7 linked regions of the Tribolium castaneum genome follow. The protein of the gene in region 7 binds, or shares a complex with, the protein of the main gene of each other region. Links are inferred from orthologs where the notes say so. Each region holds a gene or a part of one and is shown on either strand. Other genes may lie near its edges.

Region 1 (4,162 bases), about 1.4 Mb from region 7:
TTTCACTCAAGACGTACAAATGGAAGTGTACAGAACCAAATTATGATTTTTCTTTCTTCCTAGAGATGGATGTGAGAAATGGACACGGACTCGTGTTTTTAGTGCCTTTTATTTGGCAACATCTGTGATCTCTAGCTGATAAGATACAAGTGTTCGATTGTTGAATTATGCAAAGACTACTTAACTATTTTTATACCTTATTACATTGTTATTATTGAATAAGATTGTACAACTTGATACGCGTACGTGTTGAAATATTTATTTTCTTTTGTAAGCTTAGACTAGTGCTAACAACGAGTATTTATTACAACATTTTAGTACAATAATATTTAATTAATAATAAGCGTAGTGTTTGTTCAAAGAGTTTAAGCTACCAACGAAAATATAATATAAATAAAAAAAATTTTGTGGATTTTTGCCTCCTTTAAATGCCTACAACCGAAGTTATTGACAAAAAAAAACGCTCCAAGTACTGAAAAGTCGCCCAATATTTCCAGAATCTTAAGTCAATGAATTTCCGAAAATACAAATACATACCACTAATGTGCAGTAATCTAATTTTTGTTGAAAAGCGTACAATTTACCTCACTTTGTGCTTAAAATGTACTTTTCCTAACCACAAATGAATTGACAAATATTTGGAAAGTGATGTTTTTTACAAGTTTTCAAGAAAACTTGCTTTTTCACCAATTTCCAAAAATAATGCCCACAATAATGTGCAATAATCTAATATTTTGTTGAAAAACATGCAAGTTACCTTACTTTGTGCTTGAAACTTCCAAATTAACACTGAACTTCTAAACTAACACTTAACACTTCATTCTTCCAAATCCTGATTGTCACAGTAACTGAATTTAGGAATATCCGGGGAAAAACTGGTGTTTTTTTTCCACAATTTATAAAAAAAACGTAATTAAGGTAACTTTTTCACAAATTTTTCATAAATGTAGACAAAAAAGATCCGGGCACACACGAGAGACGCGATAATGGAAAAAGTGTTGCCAACCAAATTCACTGAATTTCCGAAAATAGTACCAATAATGTGCTATAATGTTAAATTTTGTTAAAAAAACATGCACCTTACCTTACTTTGTCACTGGAATCACCAAATTATGTAAAAATTACACTTAACACTAAGTAACATCATTTTTCCAAATTCAGTATTCACACATGATTTACAAATTTTTGAAAAAAACCGGTGTTTCCTACCACAATTTATAAATTGAACTTAATTAAGTTACGTAATTCAACACTTTTTTCACCAATTTTCCTTCAATTTGAACAAAAAACACGATAAACACAAACAGACGCGATAATTTGAAACAAATGACGATCGAGGAAAAGAAAAACTGTTACCAACCTGAATCTAGGGACTTTGCAACGCTCTGAGGCAACGCTAGACTTGTTTTTTGAGGTTATGCAACGGCTTTTTGTGTGTGTTTTTTATTAAAAATGGATAATGATTTGGAACGGTCGGTGCGTCTTCTCGAAGACGCTCTCCAGACCCCCACAAAAGGGCTATTTAAGGTCTCGACCGCAACTCCAAAGCGTGAAAAACCTAACCTCAGCTTTACAATAAACCCCGAAGACTTAACCGGCCTGGAATATGGAAGTGTTTATCAAAACACCTTGTCTTTATTTGTCGATGATGACAAAACGGTCACCGGGTCGGTGATCCAAGCAGGAACTCCATGGAAAAACACTGTTAATAATTTATATACAGAGTTTGCGGATATCCTGCAGGGGTCCACCGGAGGCCTTGATATCCTGGACGTGGCCGAAGACTTGGCGAGGTGTTGTAGTGACGCTTTGGCGGTGGTTAAGTCACTGAAAGCCAAAGTGGCCACTAGTGAATTAGCCGAAGAGAAATGGCTCGAAAATGAGCGGAATAATTGGAGACTGCTGTATGTCCTGTACCAGGATCGGATCCAGGCCCAGAACCACAGTAAGGAAGGGTTTGAGGAGGATTTCGGGAGCAGTGAAAAGAACTGTGTGTGCGAACTGTTCAAACGAGAGAATTTGGTTAGGGAAAGCCAGTTGGTGATCGATTGGCTCGAGAGGAACGCTCTGGAGAAGGGGGACCCCATTTTAATGCACTCAGACTGGACGTATGGATGGGAACACACTTTGCATCAATTGCTAGCACCTGATGCTATTGCAATTGGGAGTAATGTGGATATTATCAAGAACATACATCCAGATGCGCCACAGTTTCAGCGCTTATCGCTGCACCACTTGGATTACGACAATGACAAAAAACTATGTCAGAGAATTTTTATGGAAATTAGGTGCGGCAACCTTGAGGGCGCCCAGGAAGTTTGTGCTGTTTTCAGCCTTTTATTATTTATTCAATAATTAAATTTCAGTTATGTTACAACAGTGGTTATCCATGGCGCGCTGCGATGTTAGAAGGCTGGAAGCTTTTTCATAATCCCAACCTGGAAACAAGTCTTGAAGAGTATAAAGACGTAGAAGGGAACCAAAGGCGGGATTTGTGGAAATCTTGCGCATTAGATTATTGTCATAGGGTAAGTTTTTCGTTCCACAGCCTCTTTGACAGTTCGGGAACTTCGCTATCTTTTTTTTTGATACCATTGTTACTAGATAAACCGATGTCACTTTGGCAGTTGTAAAACATGTATTTATTTTATGTTTATTTATTTAAAATTTCTGGAAAATAATTAACCAAATTTAGGACTGAAGACGAAGTTTCGTATCTATCAAGGAGGCTGTTTTATAAATTTGAAAAAACTACTAAAAAATTTCAGTCAAACTTGAACATTTATGAAAAAGCCGCCATTGGTAGTCTTTGTGGTTTCTTGGAGGGCATTTTGCCCGTTTGTACCACATGGGAGGACCACCTGTGGGCCTACATGCGAACCATGGTCGATATTCGTGTTGAATCGGAAATTCGCGACTCAATCATTAAAAACTACATACCACTACCTGAAGAATATTGGGAACAAAAGAAATCATTAAGTGAAATTTTTACAATTTTGGAAGCCTCGAAAAATATTGACATTGCAAAAGAAGCGCATGAAATTGATCATGTAATTCAGAAACTTGTCATTTTAGACGAAATTCCCACACTGATACGCCTCCTAGATCAGTGGAGTGAAGATCTAAGTGTTACGACACAATCTCTTCGATTTTATGCTCACTTAGTTTTGTTTTTTGAAAGCGTCGGAGACTCCACTCATAGAAAAACGTGTGAAAAAATCGTCGAAACGTAAGTTTTCTTGGTTGTATAACTCGACTTAAGGCCGGGCGCTTTAGTCTCCCGGTATGGTGACTATAAAAAAATTTGTGTCTAGTGTATTTTATGTTCTTAATGTTGACCATAATCTCGTCAGAACTAAATTATTGCTTTTAATATTTTTACCACTTTTTTATAGCTACGGTATTATTTTTTGTTTTATTTGACTTCGAGCTTCTATAAAAAAACATAAAGTGTTTGCTACTCACCGCTGCGTTGCTTGTGTTTTAATATCATTTGTTTAATTAGATATATCGAGCGTTTGAGCGAAATGAACGAAACCCAGCTTGTGGCCTTCTACGTGAGCAAGCTGGGAAAATCCAAACAAATCCAACTTTACGCCAAACACTGCGAAAAACTGCTTTCGACTGAGCAACGCAAAAACGCCCTTACTTACGCTGAAGATTTCAGTTTGGACGTATTTGCTATAACGCAACAAATCGTCGAAATTATAACAAGCCGACCGTCTGAATCCGAACTTCCCGGTAATCTCCAAGGTAAAATCACCGAAATCGACGAACTCAAAATCTCCGCTATTGATTGGCTGATGTTTTACGAGGAGCAACGAGCCGAAGCATTGGCTCAAACCAATTCTATTATTTTCAAATTTCTGATTTTGGGCAAATTAGAAGCAGCCCAATTGGCAATCAATAAAATTCCTTACGATTCTATAGAGAAGATACGCAGCGAAGAGCAGATTCATCAGATTGTTAAGAATTATTTGAGTTATAAAGCGTATTTGGATGCACATGAGGCGTTTAACGAGTGGTTTAGACAGTATAGGAATAAGCCGATGCCACCACCTGAACTGCCCGAAAATGCACAATTTACTGAAAAAGTTGCTCATAATCATAAAGTCTCGCAGTTTAATGCCGAAGCGGAACGGTGGAAATTGACGACATCGCA
Region 2 (4,108 bases), on a different chromosome or scaffold from region 7:
GCTGAGTACTTTAGGAAATTATCTTTTATTAGCAACACCTTTATTATCACATTGAGTTAAATTAATGATACAGTTACAACCAACAAATGAATCACGTAATTCCATAATAAATGAGTGACAGATTCTACATAGAGAGAAATTGACATATTGAGAGGCTCTGAAGCTCACACTTAAAATAACCTTGAAGACCTGTACAAATCATTAACTCCGTTCCGGACACGACGTCTGTGGCATCCTGCCTTTGGCCCCCACGCCGTCCGCCCCCAGGGCCGTGTGCACCACGATGCTGGGCTGGCCGGGGGAGGGGGGGTGCACCTCGTGCGACGCCCCCGGCGTGAGGGTGGCCAAAGCTGCAAGAAGGTCATGATTGATAATGGGCTCACCTTCCGGCCGGGGCTCCCAGTCGAGGGGGGGCGACGCCGGCGGCGAGATTAGGAACTGCTTGAAGGGGGCTGGCGGCTGCAGGCTGGGGTTTTTGACGGGGGTGACGGGTTGAGCAAAGTAACACGTAATCACTGAGTCGTTGATTTTGTATTGGTGGAGCTGAATGCGGGCGCTGGCGGCTGCCACGGGCGTCTGGAAGTTCACTCTCAGTCTTCGGAAACTGCGCAGCCACTGGAATGTCACGTCCGGGTCGAAGTTCCGGAACAGGTTCTCCATTTCGCGCTTTTTCTCTGCAATTTTACGGTCAGATCGGGTGAGGGCTGGGGGCGGATTACCGGGCGAGGTGAAGACACTGTCGTGGATGTTGGTGACGATGAGGGACGTCGGCAGGTCCTCGAACTCGTCGTCGGTCACATGCTCGGGGCTGTCGATGTCGGCCTCCGCCAGCAGGTTGGGGTGCACGTTGGGAAGGCCGTCTTGGTCGTTAATGATGATATCGTCGTCCATTTCGCCGTTGCTTTCAGCCATTGAAAAATTGGATTAAATTCACCGACACAGGATCTACCGCGGTTTAAACCCCATAAAACAATGCGCACTTTTTCGGCTAAACTAATCAAGGCTAACTCTTACGCTACTAAATTTTAACACAAAAACATTGCAATATCAAAGTGCAAAAAACACAACCCAACAATTGCAAATGCCAAATGTCAGGAATGAATGACACTTGACAAGGGGATGAAAGCCGAAAGTTCGCCAGCCCGAATTGAAATACAAAGGAATGAGCTTAAAAAAACGTAAAACCCTGAAATGGATAGATTTCCAGATAATTAACATAAACACATGAGCGACTTTTTGATTTCGTATTTTTTTGTACAGAAAACGCTGAAATTTTGTGAAATTGCCGGTGTATAACCTAGGTTTGAAGTTTGACAGTTCTGTCAATTCGTTAAGTTCAATTTGTGAATACATAAAAAATTGTAATTACTATTTTTATATAAATACTAACGTTAAATTTAATGCAGTTATGGCATTTTCGTTCGGAAATGCAAACCAGTCGACTTTTGGAAGCCCGGCAAATAAACGTAAGTTTTAGAACCGTAAGAAAGTTAGGTTAAGTTCTTTCTATTTTGTTATTTGGTATTCACGGTTTTATTTATTTTCCCTTTAAACCGTAATTAATGAGATTTAATTTTGCCCAAAACGCCTGACTAATGTTTGTGTTCTTAATTTTTAACCAGAAAAAATCGAAAAAGTGGCAGCGTTTTGTACCATTCAGACTCAACAATACAAATCACCACACTTTTTACAGATAAAATGTTAATTGGTGTTTTAAATGGTTATAAAATTTAATTGTGATGATTGTTAACGTGTGAGTAACAATTCAACAATTTTTGTTTGAAACAAATCGCTAAAAAATGTTTTGTTTAGTGTTTAACTTAAATTTTTTGTCACGTCTGTGCTGCACAGTACACAAAAGTAATTTCATTACTTAACTGATAAAACATGAAAAACTGGACGTGTTCAATAAAAAACCTAGATTATAATTTATAAACCAAGAATTTATTTCGGCAATAACATTTTGAGGATATAAATAAACCTACCTAAGCGAGTAACAAAAATATAATGATAGTAAAATATAACAGATTATCACAAATATAATTAATACGATTTCATTCTTCCGTTTGAGATGGTAACTTGGCTCAAATCGGTTGCACAATCAAGCGATCCTGAACGGCTGGCTTTATATCGCTTATAAACGACGATAAGAATGACGATAATTAAGAGCAGACTGACGATTATAACTCCCAAAACAACGTACAAAGTTTTTCCCTCAACGTCGTATCCTTCGTAATATATTTGGTTCGAAACATCCGTAGTTGAAGAAAATACGTCAAGTGGGGTTGAAGTTGTATTTTGTGTACTGTTTTTTATTTCGGCCACTGCTGAAGTGATGTTGTTTTCAAAAATACCGATTGTTTCGGTCGTACTGTCGGTCACTTCGGTTATCACGGTGGTAATCGTTGTTGTAATATTTTGAGAAATCTCAGGAGTGGTAGCAGTTTCTGCAGTAACCGTACTGTTGGTTATTTCGCTGATGAGGGTAGTAGCTGGGGGAGTGAAACTCTGCCCAATTTTGAGTACGTTTTGATCGTCTGTGACTTGAAGGGTCGTTCCAAAACTTTTAGTAGCCCCTTTGATAGGAAATGAGAATAGCTAGAATCGGAATTTTTAAATCCAACTTGAAAAATAAAAATTAAACTCACCGTAGGGCCCGACATTGTGCTTTTTATTAGCGAAGGAAAAACACTTAACTCTGCAAGAACTTATCGGCGACTGAAAGTTTCTTTCCACGCTTTGAATTTTTATCGCTGGTGTTTATATGTGCGAACACGGTTTTCCTGCTTTCCTTCCATTCGCAGTAAAATAACAACCCGGGGATGAGTCACAAAATGCTGTTTAATGCAATTTCTTGTGGTTGGGATAAATAAAATCCGTCATTTTGTGATAACAAATTGGGAAAGCGGCACTGCAGTCGAAAAAAACTTGTTTTGAAATTATCTACGTGTTTAAATTCTTTTTAAAAAATTTGACTGGAATGACACTTGAAGGATTGAAATAATTTCATTTATTTCGTGTTTATTTCGTTTTTGCATAAATTTAAGTCTTAACAACAGCGTATTTTTTGCACGATAAGTATTCGCATAGTTCAAGTTTGACTTGCATTTTTTACCGAGGAGTAGTTTCCGTTTGGTCATTTCCCCGTAACAAATACTTTTTTCATGGAAATTCTTTTCTTTTCGTTGAAACAACCCAAATAGAAAAATAAATAATTTCAGGATTGTGGTTTCGTAGCCATTTCCTTTGGAAAACTACAAATTTCGCTGAATTTATTCAATTTATTCGATTTTTCCTGAATTAAAACGCACACTTCTTATCGTCTTAGATTATTTATTAATTTTTGTAAACACCTAGTCATAGTTTTATGTTTTTCCAATGTTTATCCACAGCCACCGCATTCGGTACCCCATTTGGGGTAACCACCACCACGGCTAGTACCGGCTTCGGCAGTTTCGGCTCTTCCTTCGGAGCCACTTCGCAGCCGTCGACCGGTTTCGGCTCAACTTTCGGAGCCCCAGCTCAATCTTCAGGTTTCGGTAGTACTTTCGGTACTCCTGCAACTTCCACTCCAGCATTTGGTTCGACTTTCGGAGCCCCAGCATCAACCTCAGCCCCGACATTCGGTACCGGCTTCGGTCAATCGACCGGCGGCGGCCTTTTCGGTACTTCCACAACCAAACCAACCCTTTTCGGAACTCCCACCACTTCAACCTCGTTATTTTCGACCCCTAGTTCGGCCCCCAGTTTATTCGGGAGCGGTACCACCACACAAGCCCCAAGTCTTTTCGGGGGGGTCACCACCTCGACTCCTAGTTTATTCGGAGCTGGCAGTACCCCAGCTCCGAGTTTGTTCGGTACTGCGACAACTTCGGCCCCGAGTTTATTCGGGACTTCGTTCGGGGGCACGGCCACCACTTCGGGGGGGCTGTTTGGGGGGAGTACAACAGGGGGAGGGTTTGGTTTATTCGGGGGTACTACTACGACGAGTGCGCCGTCGTTGTTTGGGGGGTTTGGGGCTACGCAAACAACAGGGGGGTTTGGGGGTTTTGGGACTAGTGGAGGGTTCGGTCAACAGACACAAGGGAGTTTGTTTGGGGGCGGGTTT
Region 3 (4,300 bases), on a different chromosome or scaffold from region 7:
GTTAAAAGAGAAATTTTTTGCGGCCAGAGTGACTTACAGTGACCCTGACACAATCACTGATACGAAAATTGAGGAATTTGAGGACTTGGCGAGTGCACTTAAAGTGGCCAATTAAAAGTATTATTGTTTACGTAAAGTATTTATTTAATAAAAAATTGTTAAAAAAATCATCATTTTAATTGGGCTTCGTGTACCAAAGCTCGTGCTAAATTCCGGGTCGCTGACAGTCTCAAGATCGGAAGTTTGTCTTTCAAGTCTTTGGTTTTTTCCTGCTCTTCCAAACACTGCATAATGATGTAGGTATCAGTTGAGGAAAAAACCATTTTTTCGCACTCAAGTAGCGGTATTGCGTCAGTTAATAGAATACTCCAGAAACTACAAGATAATCTTTAGATAAAAAACCGCAATTTTAAGTGTTTTCCCCTTACAAGTTTGGTATTATTTTCGACTCAAGTAACGAAACGAGCAAATTGGCGGCTTCTTTGTACTCGTTCGCTTGATATAACTTCTGGAATTCGTAATATTTGCCTAAAAACATCAACCTATCGCTTGCCAAAATACACGATCCGAGATTATCCAAAAGATCAATACTGTTCAAATCGCCACTTTCGGCATACTCTCGCAGAAATTTGTTCGATAAAAACGACACAAAAGTGCCGTCTTGTGATTTGAGGGCCCAGGCGAGGGCGTGTCCCAGACGCCCCCGGTTTTTACAAGCCATTCCTTGCACTTTACAAATACTTTGTGCCGTTTCGGTTAAATTCCGGTTCAGAGCCTCTCTCACAATTTTCTCAGCCCGCATTTCGGAATTTAGAGGCAGTCTTGCAAGTAGTAATTTTGTGACTTCAGGGCCATCGCTGGGACAGTGGTCCAAGTAGCTTAAACCGACCTGCCATAGTGACTTATGGCCCATTAAAAGCGAGCCATAATCGATTAAAAATGACTCGCGCAATTTATCAGGGTGGCTGAAATAATAATTGTAAAATAAACGGTTTAAAAAAAATCGGGGACTCACAAATTTTCAATAGTTTCGATAGTTGTGTCGCTTAGACGGCCTGAATGGTAAAGTAGGTCGGTTAAGTGGCTCACAAACCAGCCACTGTCTGTCATATTTTGGATTTCTTTAATCACCTGGCAAAGAAATGTTAGAATTTATGTGTACATTTGCAAAAAAGTGTAAAACTAAAAGTATAGCCGAAAAATACAGGATTATTCAAAAGTCTCAGTTTTATTTAATAACTTAACAGAGGTGGCGCCATATTACCTGTAAAATATCAAACTCCATTGCTGCCAACAACATCCTATCCAAATGCTTAATTCTATTCCCTATGGACATTTTCGTGATACACTGTTTGGCAAACTGTCCCAACTCAAACGATTTAACAGTAGGTTGGGTAAAAAATAACCACGCGGCTAACATTTCATACCACGTCTCGCAATACTGCTGTATTTCCCCCCATGCAATTTCGTTACCAACCGTAAGCTACAAAAAATCTTATAAAGAAAACTACCAACTCAAACACACTTAAAACAAAACCTTCATAATCAAATTGAGATTATAACAAGAAATAAACATTTTCGCATCAATTTTCGATTGAACATCCACGACCCAATGATTCCATTGTAGATTAAATTCAGCGATTGAAGTCCCACTAAACATCTAAAGTCGGCCATGAACACCTGTCAATTTCTCCCAGCCTACTTACGTTATAAACCGGCATTGCTCTCAGACACTGATCCACAATTCTGAAAGGTTGTGACTCAGCTTCTGAGTGTAATTTAAGTAGGGCCCTAACGACCTTGACCCGCCCTTGTAATAGTGACCCAATGACAGTTTCCCAATAGTCAGGGTGTGACTCCAAACCACCCAAATCCCCAGCCAACATACTTGCCGCATTTCGGTCATATTTCGGAAAATGAAACCGAATCCAGTCCAGTAAGTGGGGCAAAACAATGTTGCCTAAAACCCCAACTGTTTGGCAAAAATCCCCAAATTTTGTGTCACTACAGAGGTCTATAACTTAGGAGGAAACGATGTACGAAATTACCGGATTTTCTGAACCTAAAAAAGTCCGGAATTTTTTTTAAATATAGTTAACGATAAAACTACCGAGTTCAGGACGTTTTATTTGTACGTCGTTTCGCATCCTAGCTTTTAGATATCCGTGTCACTAACCCACCTGGGACCGCATCAACAAATAAGATTTCACACAAGTGCCAAATACACTCAACTGAGTAAAAAATCGTAATGTAATTTTGCAATTCTTCGCGATAATCGCCATCGGCTCGCATCACCTCGTCTTGCAAATTCTCCAAACAGGCCCTTATTATGGACCTGTACTGCCGGCTAAGTTTCAATAATTCGGCCTTGTGGTCGCCCTCAGTGGCTACAAGGGCTTGAAGGGTTAGAAACGTCCCGTTGGCCTCATTTACCAATTTGCGTAAAATTGGTTTGAAGAGAATAATGTCGGGGCGCAGCTGAAACACAGAGGCGTCCGAGGGGGCAAAGTGACTCGGTTTATCAACTTTTGGTGTTTTCTGGTGGCCGAAAACACCGAATTCGTTGACGGAAAGCCACGAAGCCGCCACTCCAGCACGTCGGCATAACTCATTTGGAATAACCTACAAGTTATTATGACCTAACCTCAAAAATTGATCGCTGCTTACGAAAGTTTTGGCGGTATTGTCCATTAATACGGGTCGGGAAGCGTTAAATAACACGAAATTTTGCGCCTTTTCATTCAAAAAAACCGTATTTTTTTCGAATTTTGTTTGAGGAGAGCGGTTAGCCGGGTCGGTAATTTAGAAATCTGTTCGGTTACTAGGGTTACTTTCGTTTTGGGTTGGTAGCGAGAACGGTAACGGTAGGGATTTAACTTCGCCGTCAATCCTGTGGGCGGGTATTTTGAATTTGTTATATTGGGGTGATACTCACGTTGAGGCCTTCTCCTGGTGCGAGTGTGACGTTGAGCGCGATTCTGTCGGTTTCTTGCGTACGAAAAATCGCATAATGAAGTCTTTTTCTTTGAGCGTTTGAGTGTCAATGCTCCTAATTTCTGCCTCTCTGGCTTCCTGCATGCGGGCTTGATCTGCGAGGAGCTTGTCAATTAGATCCTTAATTTGGCCTCTGGAATGTTCAATTCTGGAGGTCCACTGTTTCATTAAACGGTAGTTTTCCCTTGCTTTGTTGCTCCGATCGTTTACTTTCACACTAGTCATGTCCCGGAGCATCGTATGGCGAACACTTTGACTTTCGAAATATCGCACAATGTAATTTGAAAGGGTGCTTAAGTAAAGCATCAAGTGGTTTATGTTCTCGTCAGTGCTTACTTTATTTTTTATCAAATAATTGACAATAAACCAGTCCACTAACTGCAAGTCGTATTTTGCCAAAACAAGTTAGAGAATTATCGGGACTTACCCGAAATTCAGTCACTGTGATTCCCTTAAGTGCGTGGCTAACTGCAATTTGTTTGATTAAATCGAGCGCTTGTTCGATGCGTCTCTGTTTGAGATAAGTTAAAACCATTTCATGAACGTGAAGTAACGAGACGAAATGAGTGATCATTCGTCTTTGGATAGTATATGTGTCTGTTTGCTGATTCGGGTTCCGGGCACTTGCAGCCCCAAACTTTTCTACCACTTTATCAGGCATTTTCAATGTCCTGCCAAAAAATAGAAAATAACCCGGCGCATCCACCATTTTTCAAATTCAAATAAGTGTTTAAATACGTTCTGGAGTAAGCTAGTGTTGTAAAAAAAACATATGATACGTAAAATGAGTCGCTGAATTCACTGGAATAAACCGTTTTGTTCTACGAATTTTAGTTTTTGAGTTATGAATTTTTTGAATAGGCAAAAAAATTAAATTAAATAAAACAGTACCCTGCGTGGATGTCGCTAACAATTTGCCCCAAATGCCTCTTCAGAAGCGACAGCACTAACTGTGAGGTTCTGATGGTCAAGGGGGCCAAATGATCAGCTGTGAAAGTCTGAGACTTGATGTACATACTCTGCAGTTCGCCGTAATGAATCAATTCACTGTCACACTTCGACACCGAAGGCTTTTCAGACAAATGAAACGAGGGGGAAGTACATATCGAAGGATAGGTGATTGATGGTGGAATAGTTTCGATACTCCCGGTATAAAAAATATGGGAATAAGTGCTTTGTTCGCTACCTCGTGGACGACTCAATTTTTTACCCATTTTAATTTGACGTAAAATAAAACAAAGTGTCACAAAAAACATTTATTAAGACTAGATTTTAACAAAAAAATACTACGATTTAAATATATCAA
Region 4 (3,500 bases), on a different chromosome or scaffold from region 7:
TTTCAAAGACATGGATGCGCAAAACAGTCTATTGTTGGACCAGATTCAAGCTCTCAATACGCAACTATCTGTCCTTCAGGCACAAGCTACCGCAGAACCAAACCAATCGGCCGACTTATCGATGAGTAAATCGTTCACTGAGGACGAAGTCAAGTCTTCCGAACAGTTGCTCACTATAATTAAATATTTGCGACAAGAGAAAGACATTGCTGTAAGTAAATCCGAAATCATGGAAGCCGAATACGAGCGGTTGAAGTCACAACATGAGATGCTAACCAAACAGTTGGAGGAAGCCAAAGCTGCGGTCGAAACCGAGCGACAGAAGTCGGAAGTTTCGGTCGTGACGGCAGCCAAACATGCCGAAGTTTTACGCAAAGTTGAGACACTCAACGCTATCACTGATAGCAATCGAGCGCTGCGTCAGGAACGGGATACGATGAAGAACCAAATTAGTGAGTTGAAACAACGGGCTGAGACACTAGCAGCTGAGTTGGCCCCAACTTTGGAAAAGAATCGAGAGTTGAATATTAAAGCCGAAGCGATGCAAACTGAAAATATTTCGCTGAGGGCTGAGTGCACGAAGTGGAGACAGAGGGCGCAAATGTTGATCGAAAAATCGAACCGGACTAGTCCCGAAGATTGGAAGAAATTGTTAAATGAACGCGAGACTCTTGCCAAACAATTGACCATCGAGAGAGGTAACGTTGCGAAAATCACTGATGAGGTCAATACGTTGAAGCAGGATAAGGGTAAGCTTGAGGAACAGTTGAGGAATGTCAGGTCACAGAATAATAACCAAGCTGAAGAAATTGCCCGGTTGAAGGAAGATATGACTTCGTTGCAAAACCAAATGCAACAGTTGACACAGTCGTTGGAACAGACGCAAGACAGTAACAAACGGTTATTGGAGGAAAATCGCTTGTTGACTGAACACACGGCTGGGAAAGACGTCAATATCACCGAACTTAAAAACAATCTCACGCAAATCCGCAAAATTGCGAAGAAATACAAAATACAGTGTGAGGATCAGATTAACGAAATTAAAACCTTGCGAGAGGAGAAGGAATTAAAGGAGACTGAACAAAACTCGAATGAGAGGCAGTTGCAAGTGCAACGCAGCGAAATGGAAGAGAGAATATCACAAATCGAGCAAAGTAACAAGGACGTGATTGAGCGACTGAACCAACAAGTCGCAACCCTGACTGAAGAAAACGAAAACTACAAGAAGGAAATCGAAAGCCACAAACAGGGTTTCTTAGATCGCGAAGAACGGTTTAAAAATCTCTTCAAAAATGCCAAAGAACGGATCGTGACATTGACCGAACAGATGAATACTTTGAGGGGGCAGTTGGGTAACCAGGAGAGTTCGTCCTCCACCAATGAAAATCCCGAAGAAGGGACGAGTAGCAGCAATAATGATCTCTTGACGAAAATCGATAATTTGGAAAAGGAGAAGGCGAATATTTTGGCTGATCGCCGGCAAGAGAATGAGAAATATGCGTCTGAAATTGAAGCGTTAATGCAGAAAGTGTCGCAGTTGCAACGACAGTTGGGTCAGCAAGGTTCCAAGCCTAGTACGAGTTCAGGGTCGGAGAAGCCGGCGAATGATCCACCCACTGCGAATATTAAACCAATGGCGGGTAAGAAGTTCTAAAAATAATGCAGTAAAAAGGTAAAATAAATGTGTTTAGGTCACTCGACAAATACTCAAACTCAGTCAGTGCCCATACATCCATGGCGCAGTGGTGAGACACCTCTGGCTAGTATAAGGCCGATGTCGCAGCAAGTTAGGACGGTTACTGTTTTACCGACGAGTCAGAGTCCAAGTGCGGTTATGGTTCCTCCACAACAACAAGTGAGTTGTTTTTTTTGTTGGGGGTGTAATGTGATTACTTTTGTGGGTAGGTTCATACTACAGGATCAAGCACAATTGAAGCACTTTCGAGTAGTAGTCCGACTAGTTCGCACACTGATTATGTACCAGCGACTAGTTCAGCTAGTCCGGCAATGTTGGGGCCAAGACAGGTTGTTGTTCCTCCAACTCAGTCCTCGCAGGACACGGAAGATGAAGACGCCAATATGCAGGTATAGTTCTTCAAATTGTGGATTTTTCGAAGTAGCTTTTTAACTTTTTTTACTAAGATTGTTTTAATAATTGTGAATAAATAAAAAGATCGGGATTACACATTTGAATGATTGGTTATTTTTATTTTTTTTATGACTATTATGCAAAGTATTTAAAGACCATAGCTGAAAAAATATTTTTTTAAATTGTTTTAATCGATTTTACACCAAAGAAAGTGCTATTGAACTTTCTTTCGGAAGAGCATGCTAATGTTTGATTTGTTTCACTCGATTTAGCTCGTTTTTGAATGAAATTTTTCCAAATAGAAGCCCAAAAAATTATAGAGTTTGATAAAAGAACATGTGTTATTTTAATATTTTCCAAACAACTAAACATATATTTCCAATTTTTTGTGTGAAACAGATTGAAAAAATTAATAAATTTAGTGCAATAAAATAATTGTTTTTCTTATTCCGAATGTTTTGATACGTTTGTGAAAAAACAAATCGAATTGTCACCAAGTTGGACCGAAAATTGTGTGAATTCTTGGGTTTTCTGTATTTTTAAACATATTGTTGAGAAAATATTAAAGTATTTTTTAGAAACTTGATCTCAATACAACAGCCAATGAAAACCAAAGTCAAAAGTGGCGTTATTTTTGTCTTTCTTGAACATTTAAGCACGTTTTGGATCTAAAATTCCAATTTGTTTCTATGAGAAACCGTAAAATTATCAATTTAAATTCAGAATTATATTCTTTTTTTGACTTTTTGACCACATTTTTTAACTTAAATTTTATTTTTTCTTTAAGAATAGATCGAGACTTGATTTGTTATATACCTAAAAATAACAAAATGAATGGAGCTTAGTTTCTTTCAATTTAGCTCATTTTCGACCGAAATTTCGTCAAATTAAGCCGAAAAAGCACAACAAAATTATATAATCTATTTTTGAGTTCAAAAGTTTTTTATCTAAACGTTAGATTGATTTCAACATTTATTTATTGGACAAGAACTTTTTACCAACATCCAAATTTGGTAAAAAGTGACATTATTTGTTGCTTTTCTTGAGCATTTAAACACATTTTAGATTTAAAATCTCAATTTGTTTCTTCGAGAATCCGTAAAATCATCGATTTAAATCCAGAATTCTTTTTTTTTTGAAAATAGGTCAAAAAGTCACTAATTATTGAAGTTATTTTAGCCATTTTTTGGTTTTGTTGAGATAAAAACCAAGTTTTTCTTAAATAAATTGCATAAAATTGCATGAAAAATCACCGAATTAAATCGAAATTGATGTTATCTTTTTCTTGTCTACAGTAATTTAATAATTAATTATTACATACCTAAAAATGACAAAATAAATGGAACTTTTGGTTAGTTTCTCTTGAACTATCTCGTTTATGTGCGAAATTTGATCAAATTAAGCCGAAAAA
Region 5 (2,652 bases), on a different chromosome or scaffold from region 7:
TATGTTGCTTTAATGTAAGAAATTTATAAAATACAATTGTTATATTCAATATAAATAAAGTTACACTAATTTTGTACATCCAGATAATTGAATATGACAACTGTAGGACGATTTTATACAATTATCTTGTTTACATCTCTTTTGTATTATATTTTATTTTCACTTTTAAAATTATAACTTGTAAAAAAGTACAACTTTTGACGCAAATCCTTAGTCTTAATTTCCACAGGATTAAGGCTCTTCAGACGTTTTAGCACAGTTTCATTTGGCTGAGGAAATACTTTGTATAGTTGTCTCCATGTATTTGAGTGTATGTCTGTTATATATAATCTTATAAAATTGAAATGTTCCATACAAGTAACATTAAAACTTTTTAATCTATATGGACTTTTAGTTGTAAAGTTATTGTCCTCCACACAAATTTTGTAACTAAGAACAACTGCAGGAATTTCAGATAGTACCAGGATCTAAAAAGAAACTAGGTCAATACATACTCATGATGGTTTTATAACTAATGTAATTTTATTAACTAAAACAAAATTTAACAAAACTTGGCTTTATTAAGTATAAATTATTGCATAATTTAAAAAGATACTAGCGTAGTAGGAATGATTTGGAACATTAAAAAATAGGGTGCTCCTGTCAGTTGTTTTCCATTGTAAACTTCACATTCAACATAAATATGTAAAACTACCCAAACGAAAATAATTTAAACAAAACTAGGCCAAGTTCTTGACAAATATAACTAATAAAATTATACATTAAAAAAATAAAGGCACAAATATGCTGAAAATTCCATCCGTTCGTAAAAAGTAACGCAACCTCGTGATAAATGAATTAGGAATAACAATAGCTGAAGTAAAAATGAAATTTTCAGCAAAACGTTTTATTTCATGTAGAATTACAATATTTACACGAAGCAGTCTAACTCCTTTTAATACTTCTCACATAAAAAGAGCCCAATAACGGCTCATTACGTAAAACAACACAAGTATTTCAGACAACAAAAATTATTCATTTAAATATATCCTACGAATATAATTATACAAAATAGATGTGTTGTTAAAAACCACACTTTTAAACAAATATTTACAACTTTTTCAATTTGAGGAACTAAGGAGTGAGCCTACTTTTTGATAAGATAACACAGACAAAAACTAAATTAACAATAAAAAATAAATACTATTGCATTGCAATAATTACTAGTTCGATACTCAGCAATCCTTGATAAACAACTTGGCTGCCAAATTCTTCCAACAAACCAAATTACAACGTAAAAAAATAATCTAGTCTTCTACCATGGACTTTTGCAATAAAAACAATAATTCGTTTTGTCTGTGTTGATTAGTTTAGATATTATATTTATATGCATATTGTTTATACTTATGTATGGGGCCTGACCCATAAGAATATCACAGTAAAAGTAGCCAGTATTGGCCGTCATATAAATATTATATGGTACGAATCATTCAAAAATTTCACAAATATTTCATCATATTCATCATCACACAATATTGATGAAAATCCTCTTCATCATCATTATAAAATTCTACATTCTATGGATCAGACCTTTGAAATGCCTACGCTATGGTATACAATGTAGGGAGTAACATGCCGTGTACAACAGTGTCATTTGTACACCGACGCATCTGTGAACATTACTTGTAACTGCAGACATTCAGATATGGTAAATAAATTCTGAAGATTTTCAACGTTATATTACATGTTCGAAAGACGAATGCCTGGACTCGAATATTCACAGGTGGCCCATTTATTATTAATGCCTAGCTAACATTTATAGGTCTGAAAACAAATATTGTTTTTAATATCAAGGTGATTGATCCACACATTTATTCTTTACATAATTTAAGCAAACTTAACACGTACTCACACAACTCCAATTTCTTGTTTCACGATACAATCACTCCTCTATATACAAACTCTAGGAAACTATCGCTGCGTCGTCCGTCGGAACGCTTTCTTGATTTTTCGCTGGGGCGGCGCCCTAAACCGAAACATTCACTTGTAACTTCTCTCGTAATAAACAAATACAACTACTTACGTTCCTGCATTTCCATCTGTAAAGTTAAATGTAGGTGGGGCGCCCGTAAAGTTGAAACCCCCGGGTACATTAAGTGGTTGCTGCAAACAATAAATTAAAAAAAAATCACCATCACAAAACAATTAACTTACGGTCGGTGCTCCGAAATTAAACCCCGGCTGACTCTGTCCCTGACTGGGAAAACTGGGCTGACTCGGCGGCGGATTAGTCTGATTAGCCCCAAAACTAAACACCGCTTTCTGATTGTTATTATTCGCATTTGTCCCAAAATTGAAACTCCCATTCTTGGCCGCTGGTCCCGCCGTCCCGAAAACACTCCCCCCGGCATTAAACGGCTGACTCTCCACTTTGGGCGCACCACCAAAGTTAAACCCGGCACTAGGCACCGAGAAGCTAAACCCTGTATTTGGCGCACTTGACGCCCCTGCTGCTGCACTCCCAAAATTGAAAACGGGCGTCGTATTCGGTTTCTCGGCCTGACCGAACGAAAAACCCGCATTTTTGGGGGCACTTTCGAACGCAAACGGCTTGCTTTCGCTCGTCCCGAAGCTCTGGGACGCCCCAAAGGCTGGAATTTTCGGAACCGAACC
Region 6 (3,473 bases), on a different chromosome or scaffold from region 7:
TAATAAAAAACTAAATAGTTTTTGACTATGATAAAATTTCCATATAAAATGTATGAGTTTAATTTTCGGGTAACAAAGTTACCTATGGGAAAATAAATCCTTTTGTGCAAAATTTCGCAATATGTAATATAATATTTACAGTACATTTAAAGGATGTATTCGGTATTAACTTCGTATCTATTATGTAAAGCTTAAACGAATATTTTTTACCTATATGGGCATAATCATTAGGTGATTTAATATGCATTATTGATTTTCAAAACGATTCGTATCGAGATTAAATCTGAGCAATTTAAAAAAAAACAACTGTAGTTGTGACCTCTTCGAATAACAAAAGCAATTTTTAATAAAATAAAAATTCCATAAACATTTTTAATGCGGTTTTTATTATGCATACAACATTTAGCTTTTTTCTTATGACAGCAGGGTCGCTTAGTCACTTCGCAGTATAGAGATTTATAGACGTTACGTTTATGCTTTAATAAAACACAAAAAACGGGTAGTTTTAACAGTTTATTTCATATGCAATTACAAAATAGTTACAATGCAGGTAGAGAACGACGAATTATACAAACTTATAAAAACTTAATTATGATAGACTTGTAAGTGGCGGAAATGGATTCTGTTTACTAACAACAACCTTCCTATGTTGATGCGAAATGTATCCTTTAATTTTCCCTTCATAAATAAGATTAGCAACAATACATTCTGTTTCATCCAAATCAACATCAGTCTGTCCTAAATACACTAAAGCAGTCTGCAGTGCTTCAATAGGGATTTGATGCGTATTTAGAATCAAATACACCTTTTTAAACAAATTTCTATATGCTATGATTTTCAGTTTATCAACAATCAGATATATTCCACACTTGATGAAAAAGGTTTCGTGCTTTTCCATAATCTCGTCAAACGCTTTGAGATTACCCTGACATACAGCTTGTACTAAATCCCACAACTGGATGACGTCATACTTCTCCAGAACCTCCTTGCTTGGGATATACCCCAACAACATTTTCACAGGAACTAAGTAAATCAATATAAGCGTTTTGTTCTTCTTACTGAGCTTGTGACAATTTTCAAAAGCATAAGTTAAATACTCATCGGCGACTTTATAATCGCTATCAAACATAGCCTTGCGCCCCACAAAATACCGATATGTGATTTGTTGGCTCAGAGAAAAACTCTCTTTAAACGGTGATGACTCAATCGCTCTGATTAAGGGCTTGCACAAATGTAGCTTATTTATCCGAAAATAAACCTTAAACAATTGATTCACCAAAGCCAACATCCCTATCCTCTTTGTATCCTCCTCTGCTGACCTATTATCAGCAGCACACACCCTGAAACAACCCATCAAGCATTCTGCTGCCTTCTCGAGCATTTCGCCGGGCTTCTCATTAATTCCGCTCCTCTGATTCTCGGCTAATTGCGCCAAAAGACGCAAGTCTAAGCACAAGACATACATAATAGGCAAAGACCAATTCTCCTCCTTTTGCGATTGCAAGATCTTAGTGAAAGTTTGCGTCAAATTGCTCTGAATGTTATAAGCCGATAGATAGTCACTCTGGCTTATGGCAAACAGGCATTTTAGGTGCAAAATCACTAATTCGTCGATAGGGGCGGTCAAAAAACGCTCAACTATTCCCTCAGGACTCTCAATGTGGTAATTGGCATAACCTGCATGTTCGTGGCGAAGAGACAGAAAACTGGCCACTTTTGCACCGTCCTGAGACCGCCAATACCTTTCCACAAGTTGTAGGTAATGAGCAACGGACATAAAAGTCATTTTGCTGAAAAACTAAGGTTAGGGGCGTCAGTTAACCGAAACCGCTTCATTTATAAATGAAATTGAACTGTTACTCACGTGATTTAGGCACAAGTGTTATATTTGTTGCTTCCGTTACGCAAAGAACATTATGTCTTACGAGTTTGACGAAAAAATGTTTGAATAAGCTTGAAAATAAACAAGTCTTTGCAATGGTGATAAAATGGCCGATAGGGAGCGGTGCGATTCATACAAGTAAAATCAATAATAATTTCTGTGACCTAACAAAATTTAAGATATTTGAGCTTAATTCGTGTTATATGTCCCATAGTACTAATAATAGGGATTAAATTAATGCAAATCCTGGAAGTAAAATGCCATAAAAACGAAAACTGTTCGTAGACCAGTTCGCAAGCCGCATGTTTTCTTCCCACACAGAGATGGCGCTCCGAGGAACAGCTTGATGCAACTTGACCGGGAACTTATCCAACTTGATTTTATTAAAAAATTTTTAGGAAATTATAAACACAGTCGTGAAAACGTTTTATTATTCTAGTCAAGGATAAATCATAATTTAAAAATCCATTACACAGGAAAGTAATAACTTCAACAATAATGAATTTAAAGCGCCTAGTAATGGAATTTATGGAAAGAAATTATTTACTTCTTTGCTATTTTAAACTTTAATAATGCTTCACGTGCCAGACCCATAAATCAGTATAATAAGCAATTTAAACGTTAATTGTAGTTTACTTTTAGCTCCTTATGAAACAAAAAAATTAAGTACTGTTTATTAGAAACTAAAGCTACACATTACGAACTTAAAAGTATTTGTTTGTATAGTGCTACTTAAAAAACAAAACCATATTTTACAAAAAAAAACTTATAAGTATAAGTAGGTAGACGACGTTTAAATTACAAACAAGTTATGTTTTAAATGATGACCGTACAAAAGCATATAAAAGGTTTTTATGTTCATCTATAAAATTTAAAAACAAATTTTACAGGGTGTCCCAGCAAAAGTATATTTTTACTGCATGACAAGCTAAATAATTACACAGAATTCCAAATTTGCTTTAAATACTTTTAGTATGCCTTATTATGTACCATAAAAAGTTATTTTTTCTATATCTACATTTTATAATTTTAAAATAAAACAATATAAAAAAGCAATATTCTATATCTTGAATGTCTGTGTGATTAATGATTATGATAGTTTGAGAAATGCAACGTAATTATTAACAACTTAAAAAAGAATCAAAAATAAAGAACTATTTAACAGAATTGACACGTTTACTGAAATATGATTCTGATGTAATTTTTTTAGCTGAATTTAAATCCGAAAGTTTTTTTTTTGATTTGGAATAGCCTTCACTGTAAAAAAGACGTTTATGTAAAAAAATTCAAAAATTAATATAAAGCAAATTTGTGTTCACATCTTCATTTCCTCATATTTTTCTTCTGAGTAAAGCTAGAAACTTGAAAATATTTTTAGGCGAACAGAGGGCTCACATCCATATCTAAATTCTGTAAATATTTTATGTAAATATTTTTCCATTTAATGTTCAATAGTAGTGCACTTAATCAACTCGTATTGCATTAAGTTGGTTTGGACTAGTTGATTTCGTTCCGTTTATAAACTATGAAAAATCGAGCCTTCTTTAGATGATTCAGAGCACAATAAAAATCAATTTGTTGAAGTCTGATA
Region 7 (4,138 bases):
ACAAATCGGGCGGTTTTTGCTTAACTATTTACGCGAGATCGAAAAAATACGCGAAAGCTCAAAAACTACAATAAATTGCAGTGCTTTAAATAATTTTAAAATTCTTCAAGAGTTTTCCGTAAATGATTTGAGCAGATATCAACAGAAGCAGCTGTCATTAAAATTTTCTGTGATATAAATATAAGAATGGTTCGCCAGGCGCCACGGTAAAAGTACCAGATAATAAATTGTAAAACGTTTTTTAGGGCTCAAAAGCCCCAGAATATTTTTTTAACATAAAAAAAGTACGAACCTCGGTGTCCATCTCGCGCTGGATCTGCTCAAGGAGAGCCCCCATGACGACATCAGGCGACTTCAGCAGTGCCAACTCTCGTTCGAACGTGTACGCGAAAATCTCACTCATCTGCGAATCCAAATAATTAATGACCTTGAACAAACTGATCACGTCGTCTGTGATATCAACATCTGCAAAAAATGAACCAATCACAATTGATTAATTAACTGTGCGGTTTAATTACTCTCAGACAAGAGGAAATATTTGGTGAATTGGTCCCTAAACATGTGGTCGCTTTCGTAGATGAAATGTTCAAAAATATCGAGAGGTCGCAAAAACGAAATCATGGATTTTTTCAAAAGTACGGCCCCGGAGGAGTTTGGAAGAACAAGGAGGCCTAAAGGTTTAAGTCCAGCGACGTGGTATTGGACGCAACAGGAGTAGAATTGTTGCCAGCAGTAGCTGGCGGTTTCGAGATAATCTTCGTCGCTGACGACGGTTTCCTTCAGCTCGTTTTGGACCTCGTCTTCGACGGCCATGCAGATCTGCTGCTTGAGATGGGCCGCCGAGAGGTTCAAGTCGCTGATGACGGCCGAGCGTTTGTAAATCTATAATAAGCAGTTGGTGTGACAAAAAACGCGCAATAATTTTTATGTATATTTTTTAAATAAAAGGTTTGAAAAGCAACAATTTGTTATTTTGTCGGGTCGCCAGGAGTCACATTAATTGTGCCTCAACCAAATAAGAAACTAAGAGGTTTAGAGAAAAACAAATGGCACATTTTCGAAAAATACAGTAAAAAAATCAGCTTGACTTGAAAACTTACGTTCAAAGCCTTGCTGATTATATGCAAGGGGAACCTGCCCGGGTGGAAGATGTGCTGGAGGTAGCTCTGCCTGGGATCCGTCTCCCCGTCGATGCTCAACGGTTGGCTGGCGTCTGGCACATTTTCCAGAACCACGGGAATCCAGTGACTCCCCGCCTGGTTCGAGGCCGAATACACCTCACATTGGCCCTCTTTTCCGCGCCAAACCGACCAAATCCGACTTGTCGAGATCGTAAAATCGATCAAATCGGTCTAAAACCCCAAACTTACCCCCTATCACTTATCCCACCTACGACTCACCTGAGCCAAATCAAGTATATTAAGCCTCACTAGCCGAACCTGCGAGCCACTGAGCATCGGCTTGAACACATGCAACTGACTCTTGGCTGCGAAACTCATGAAAATACCCAACAGACACTCAGAATCAAACCCATCGACGGCTTTCCGCAGGATGTGGTTCTGAGCGCCTTGCAGCTGGTTTCTGGCGCCGGTTTCGGCCATGACGTCGATCACTGAGACACATTCGGCCTTTGAGCACGACCAGAATTTCAAATGACCGTTGCGGCAAAGTGTCAAAGCGAAAGTTTCAAGACCGAAAGTATGTAAAATGAGGCTGACGGTAGTGTCGCCTTCTTTGTCTTTTTGGCTGCAAAAAAACCGTCAGTTTTCCGGGCCGGAAAAAATGAAGGGTTGTACCGCAGCTTGTCGGCGAGACCTGAGAGAAAGCGGGGCACGATTGACTCGCTTTTTAGCTCAGCTGAGTCGATTTTGCCCTCGGGGGACTGTCTCAGAAGGAGGATCTCGCCGGAGTGGTAGGCCAACACGAAAATTGCTTCCTCCTCAGCGAGGGTCAGGGAAGAGGCGGCCAGATATGGCAGCTGAGAACCTTTAAATAAGGGTTCATCTAGTCATGAGAAGTCCAATATTTTAAATAATCATGCAAACGTATCTAATTTTGCCATTTGGCAAACCTATTTAAAAAAAATTATGATTTGCTCGTTACGACACTCGTCTCCGGCTCGTGACTTAAAAAATTACAAGACCTACTCGAATTGGTGAAAAAGTGGAATGTGGCGGGATCCCTCGCCTCGTTGGCCGTAGCTTCGCTGAACACCGACGGCGCCGCCAGATCTGGGTGAACCCCCGCGACATGGTCCTGCCGGTGGTACTTATCCGGATGCGGAAACACCAACCTATGGACGCTGCACACCGTGGGCACCAGAACCACCACATTATCGTACGTCTCATGGATGGAAACCCCGTCCAAAATCGGGGTGTCCACAAATTTGTATCTGATGCGATTTCCGGCGAGATTTATATCGAGACTGTGCTCCACGAGCTCCAGGACATCGTGGCTAATCCTCCAGTAGATAAACCGATTCCTGGTGTGGTGTCTGGTCGAGTCGCGGTAACAAAACCCGTTGGCCCTTTCCGCGACTTTGATATCTTGAAGCGTCCCTTGTGTCCCCCCTGTTACATAACCTCAGTTTTACGTAATCGGCGATTTTTGTGATATTACCCGTGTTGAGGGTGATTTCGCGCCAGGGATCGGACACCGTCTGGTCGGGGATCACCTCCCGGTACCCCAACGCGATTTCTTGCATGGTTTTAGCCCGTTTTAACGGTTTTTTGTGCAAAAGTTAGGTTAGGTTTACGGAAACAAAAAATCAAGGTCGGCGAGTGGCGGTTAGATAATTTTCAAACTCAGGTTAACTCGCCACCAGAGGGCGCGGGGTCAGAAAATAAGACAAAATTCTACTTATTTATTTATTTATCGTACATTTATAACAAAAATAACATTTATAATACGTGGAGGGATAATATAATAACTATGAGAATAGCTTGGTTGAAGTGAATGATGCTAGGAGGAGTAGAACGCTGCTGAAGCCAATGGAAATAGCTGAGTTACAGGGTTTGCGAATTGCTTGGAAAAATCGGTTGTTTAACGACTCAAAAGCGGCGAAATCGGGACAACTACGGGCTATCGCCTCACTGAAGCACTTCTTGGACGCTTTTAAGTCACTAGAATCAGAAGAAAGATGAAAAAGTTGGGTTTGTAATCATGGGGGCACCTACAGGCACAGGTCGTCTTTCCGGACCACGTCGCTAAACCGAGCGAATAGTTTAGTAAAGCAGTTTCCAACTTGTTGCCCCTCTTGGTTGAGTTTCAAGTTTTGGCGGCAATCTGCCCCTTGGGTACTGAAGAAATCTGTATTTTCCTTGATAAAAAATAGTTTTCAAAATTTTAAATCTTACTTTCGATGGTTCTTTGGGAACACACAAAGTCGAGAAATGAGGTGAAGCTTTCAACCATGAACTTGGGCAAATACTTCTCGTCTTTGGGCAAACACGGTTTGACATCATGGGCAAGCTGGGCGGCTAGACGGGCCAGTGTGGGCCTTTCGTCGTTGCAGAACTGCTCCTTACCATTGGGCAATAAACTCGCAGCGTACGAAAGATAATCGCCAAATTGCCCCAAATGGGTCTTTATATCATCGTAAGCCGAAGCGTCTGTGCTATAAACCCGACACCTATCATAGATAAACCTGGAGATTTTGTCAGAGGAGTTCCCCTGCTGGCCCGCCACACTCGCCAAAACAAGCCCTGAAAAGTTTCGGTCAAATATTGCGTAATTTCGAGTGGGCTTGGGTCAAAACAAACGAACCCATGTGTCACATTTTCCAAGCCAACCATGACCTACAAACAAAAATCTCACCTGCAACAACGAGGAAACTTGTAATTTTCATGACCAATCCTGGAAATTGACCTTTTGAAGTGTGCACTGCGGATTATTTATACAGACGCTAGAACGTCACGCGACCTTCTATTTCTCTTCAAACCAACATTTTAATGAAAAGGAACAAGTGCAATATGTGCAGAAAAATATAAACTCGCGGAACCCATTTTGTTGACGCGATGAATTGGGGGCTGCATAAAAATGACCGATTCGTCATCGGTCAACGAAAATCCGCGCACTTTTCGAGGAAATTCACTTATGTTATGACTCAATTTGCTACAAATTCTTAATCGATAAACGA

The links.
Region 1: Nup160 (region 7) and Nup107 share a complex: the UniProt entries of both Drosophila melanogaster proteins name them as parts of the nuclear pore complex. The link is inferred for Tribolium castaneum from reciprocal best matches to the Drosophila melanogaster genes Nup160 and Nup107.
Region 2: Nup160 (region 7) and Nup54 share a complex: the UniProt entries of both Drosophila melanogaster proteins name them as parts of the nuclear pore complex. The link is inferred for Tribolium castaneum from reciprocal best matches to the Drosophila melanogaster genes Nup160 and Nup54.
Region 3: Nup160 (region 7) and Nup75 share a complex: the UniProt entries of both Drosophila melanogaster proteins name them as parts of the nuclear pore complex. The link is inferred for Tribolium castaneum from reciprocal best matches to the Drosophila melanogaster genes Nup160 and Nup75.
Region 4: Nup160 (region 7) and Mgtor share a complex: the UniProt entries of both Drosophila melanogaster proteins name them as parts of the nuclear pore complex. The link is inferred for Tribolium castaneum from reciprocal best matches to the Drosophila melanogaster genes Nup160 and Mgtor.
Region 5: Nup160 (region 7) and Nup153 share a complex: the UniProt entries of both Drosophila melanogaster proteins name them as parts of the nuclear pore complex. The link is inferred for Tribolium castaneum from reciprocal best matches to the Drosophila melanogaster genes Nup160 and Nup153.
Region 6: Nup160 (region 7) and PCID2 share a complex: the UniProt entries of both Drosophila melanogaster proteins name them as parts of the nuclear pore complex. The link is inferred for Tribolium castaneum from reciprocal best matches to the Drosophila melanogaster genes Nup160 and PCID2.

What each region holds. Positions count from the first base shown.
Region 1 is NC_087395.1:26,509,940-26,514,101, forward strand, and holds the start of Nup107 (nuclear pore complex protein Nup107), read left to right. Parts: upstream 1-1,362; 5' UTR 1,363-1,452; coding exon 1,453-2,316; intron 2,317-2,366; coding exon 2,367-2,528; intron 2,529-2,768; coding exon 2,769-3,229; intron 3,230-3,505; coding exon 3,506-4,162. Other genes in the region: sodium-coupled monocarboxylate transporter 1, read left to right, coding at 1-46. UniProt on the Drosophila melanogaster protein: Plays a role in nuclear pore complex (NPC) assembly and maintenance. Required for nuclear import of Mad. Mediates the association between the nuclear pore complex and a subset of active chromatin regions adjacent to lamin-associated domains.
Region 2 is NC_087397.1:2,066,925-2,071,032, reverse strand, and holds the start of Nup54 (probable nucleoporin Nup54), read left to right. Parts: upstream 1-1,308; 5' UTR 1,309-1,408; coding exon 1,409-1,466; intron 1,467-1,922; exon of another isoform or gene 1,923-2,598; intron 2,599-2,648; exon of another isoform or gene 2,649-3,392; coding exon 3,393-4,108. Other genes in the region: sra (protein sarah), read right to left, coding at 202-674, 720-912. UniProt on the Drosophila melanogaster protein: Component of the nuclear pore complex (NPC), a complex required for the trafficking across the nuclear envelope. Essential for the nuclear import of nuclear localization signal (NLS)-containing proteins in an importin alpha/importin beta-dependent manner.
Region 3 is NC_087399.1:876,580-880,879, reverse strand, and holds Nup75 (nuclear pore complex protein Nup85), read right to left. Parts: upstream 2,801-4,300; 5' UTR 2,692-2,800; coding exon 2,668-2,691; exon of another isoform or gene 2,623-2,667; coding exon 2,181-2,622; exon of another isoform or gene 1,961-2,180; coding exon 1,707-1,960; exon of another isoform or gene 1,661-1,706; coding exon 1,538-1,660; exon of another isoform or gene 1,484-1,537; coding exon 1,265-1,483; exon of another isoform or gene 1,132-1,264; coding exon 1,016-1,131; exon of another isoform or gene 966-1,015; coding exon 429-965; exon of another isoform or gene 376-428; coding exon 171-375; 3' UTR 121-170; downstream 1-120. Other genes in the region: oxidized purine nucleoside triphosphate hydrolase, read left to right, coding at 1-115; uncharacterized protein LOC660898, read right to left, coding at 2,803-2,890, 2,936-3,372, 3,422-3,665, 3,886-4,250; mRpS23 (small ribosomal subunit protein mS23), read right to left, coding at 4,281-4,300. UniProt on the Drosophila melanogaster protein: Component of the nuclear pore complex (NPC) that seems to be required for NPC assembly and maintenance. Required for nuclear import of phosphorylated Mad via importin msk.
Region 4 is NC_087394.1:8,229,026-8,232,525, forward strand, and holds part of Mgtor (nucleoprotein TPR), read left to right. Parts: coding exon 1-1,640; intron 1,641-1,691; coding exon 1,692-1,855; intron 1,856-1,905; coding exon 1,906-2,085; intron 2,086-3,500. UniProt on the Drosophila melanogaster protein: Component of the nuclear pore complex (NPC), a complex required for the trafficking across the nuclear envelope. Functions as a scaffolding element in the nuclear phase of the NPC.
Region 5 is NC_087394.1:31,192,339-31,194,990, forward strand, and holds the end of Nup153 (nuclear pore complex protein Nup153), read right to left. Parts: coding exon 2,194-2,652; intron 2,143-2,193; coding exon 2,063-2,142; intron 2,006-2,062; coding exon 1,951-2,005; 3' UTR 501-1,950; downstream 1-500. UniProt on the Drosophila melanogaster protein: Component of the nuclear pore complex (NPC), a complex required for the trafficking across the nuclear envelope. Functions as a scaffolding element in the nuclear phase of the NPC.
Region 6 is NC_087397.1:8,459,988-8,463,460, forward strand, and holds PCID2 (PCI domain-containing protein 2), read right to left. Parts: upstream 2,020-3,473; 5' UTR 1,865-2,019; intron 1,799-1,864; 5' UTR 1,787-1,798; coding exon 590-1,786; 3' UTR 501-589; downstream 1-500. UniProt on the Drosophila melanogaster protein: Required for the export of nuclear mRNAs and involved in mRNA trafficking in the cytoplasm.
Region 7 is NC_087395.1:25,114,010-25,118,147, forward strand, and holds the start of Nup160 (nuclear pore complex protein Nup160 homolog), read right to left. Parts: upstream 2,801-4,138; 5' UTR 2,705-2,800; coding exon 2,620-2,704; intron 2,571-2,619; coding exon 2,148-2,570; intron 1,987-2,147; coding exon 1,797-1,986; intron 1,747-1,796; coding exon 1,401-1,746; intron 1,353-1,400; coding exon 1,101-1,352; intron 883-1,100; coding exon 519-882; intron 466-518; coding exon 293-465; intron 1-292. Other genes in the region: uncharacterized protein LOC655733, read right to left, coding at 2,930-3,122, 3,177-3,309, 3,357-3,704, 3,817-3,847. UniProt on the Drosophila melanogaster protein: Functions as a component of the nuclear pore complex (NPC). Involved in poly(A)+ RNA transport. Required for nuclear import of Mad. May play a role in double strand break DNA repair. Essential for nephrocyte development.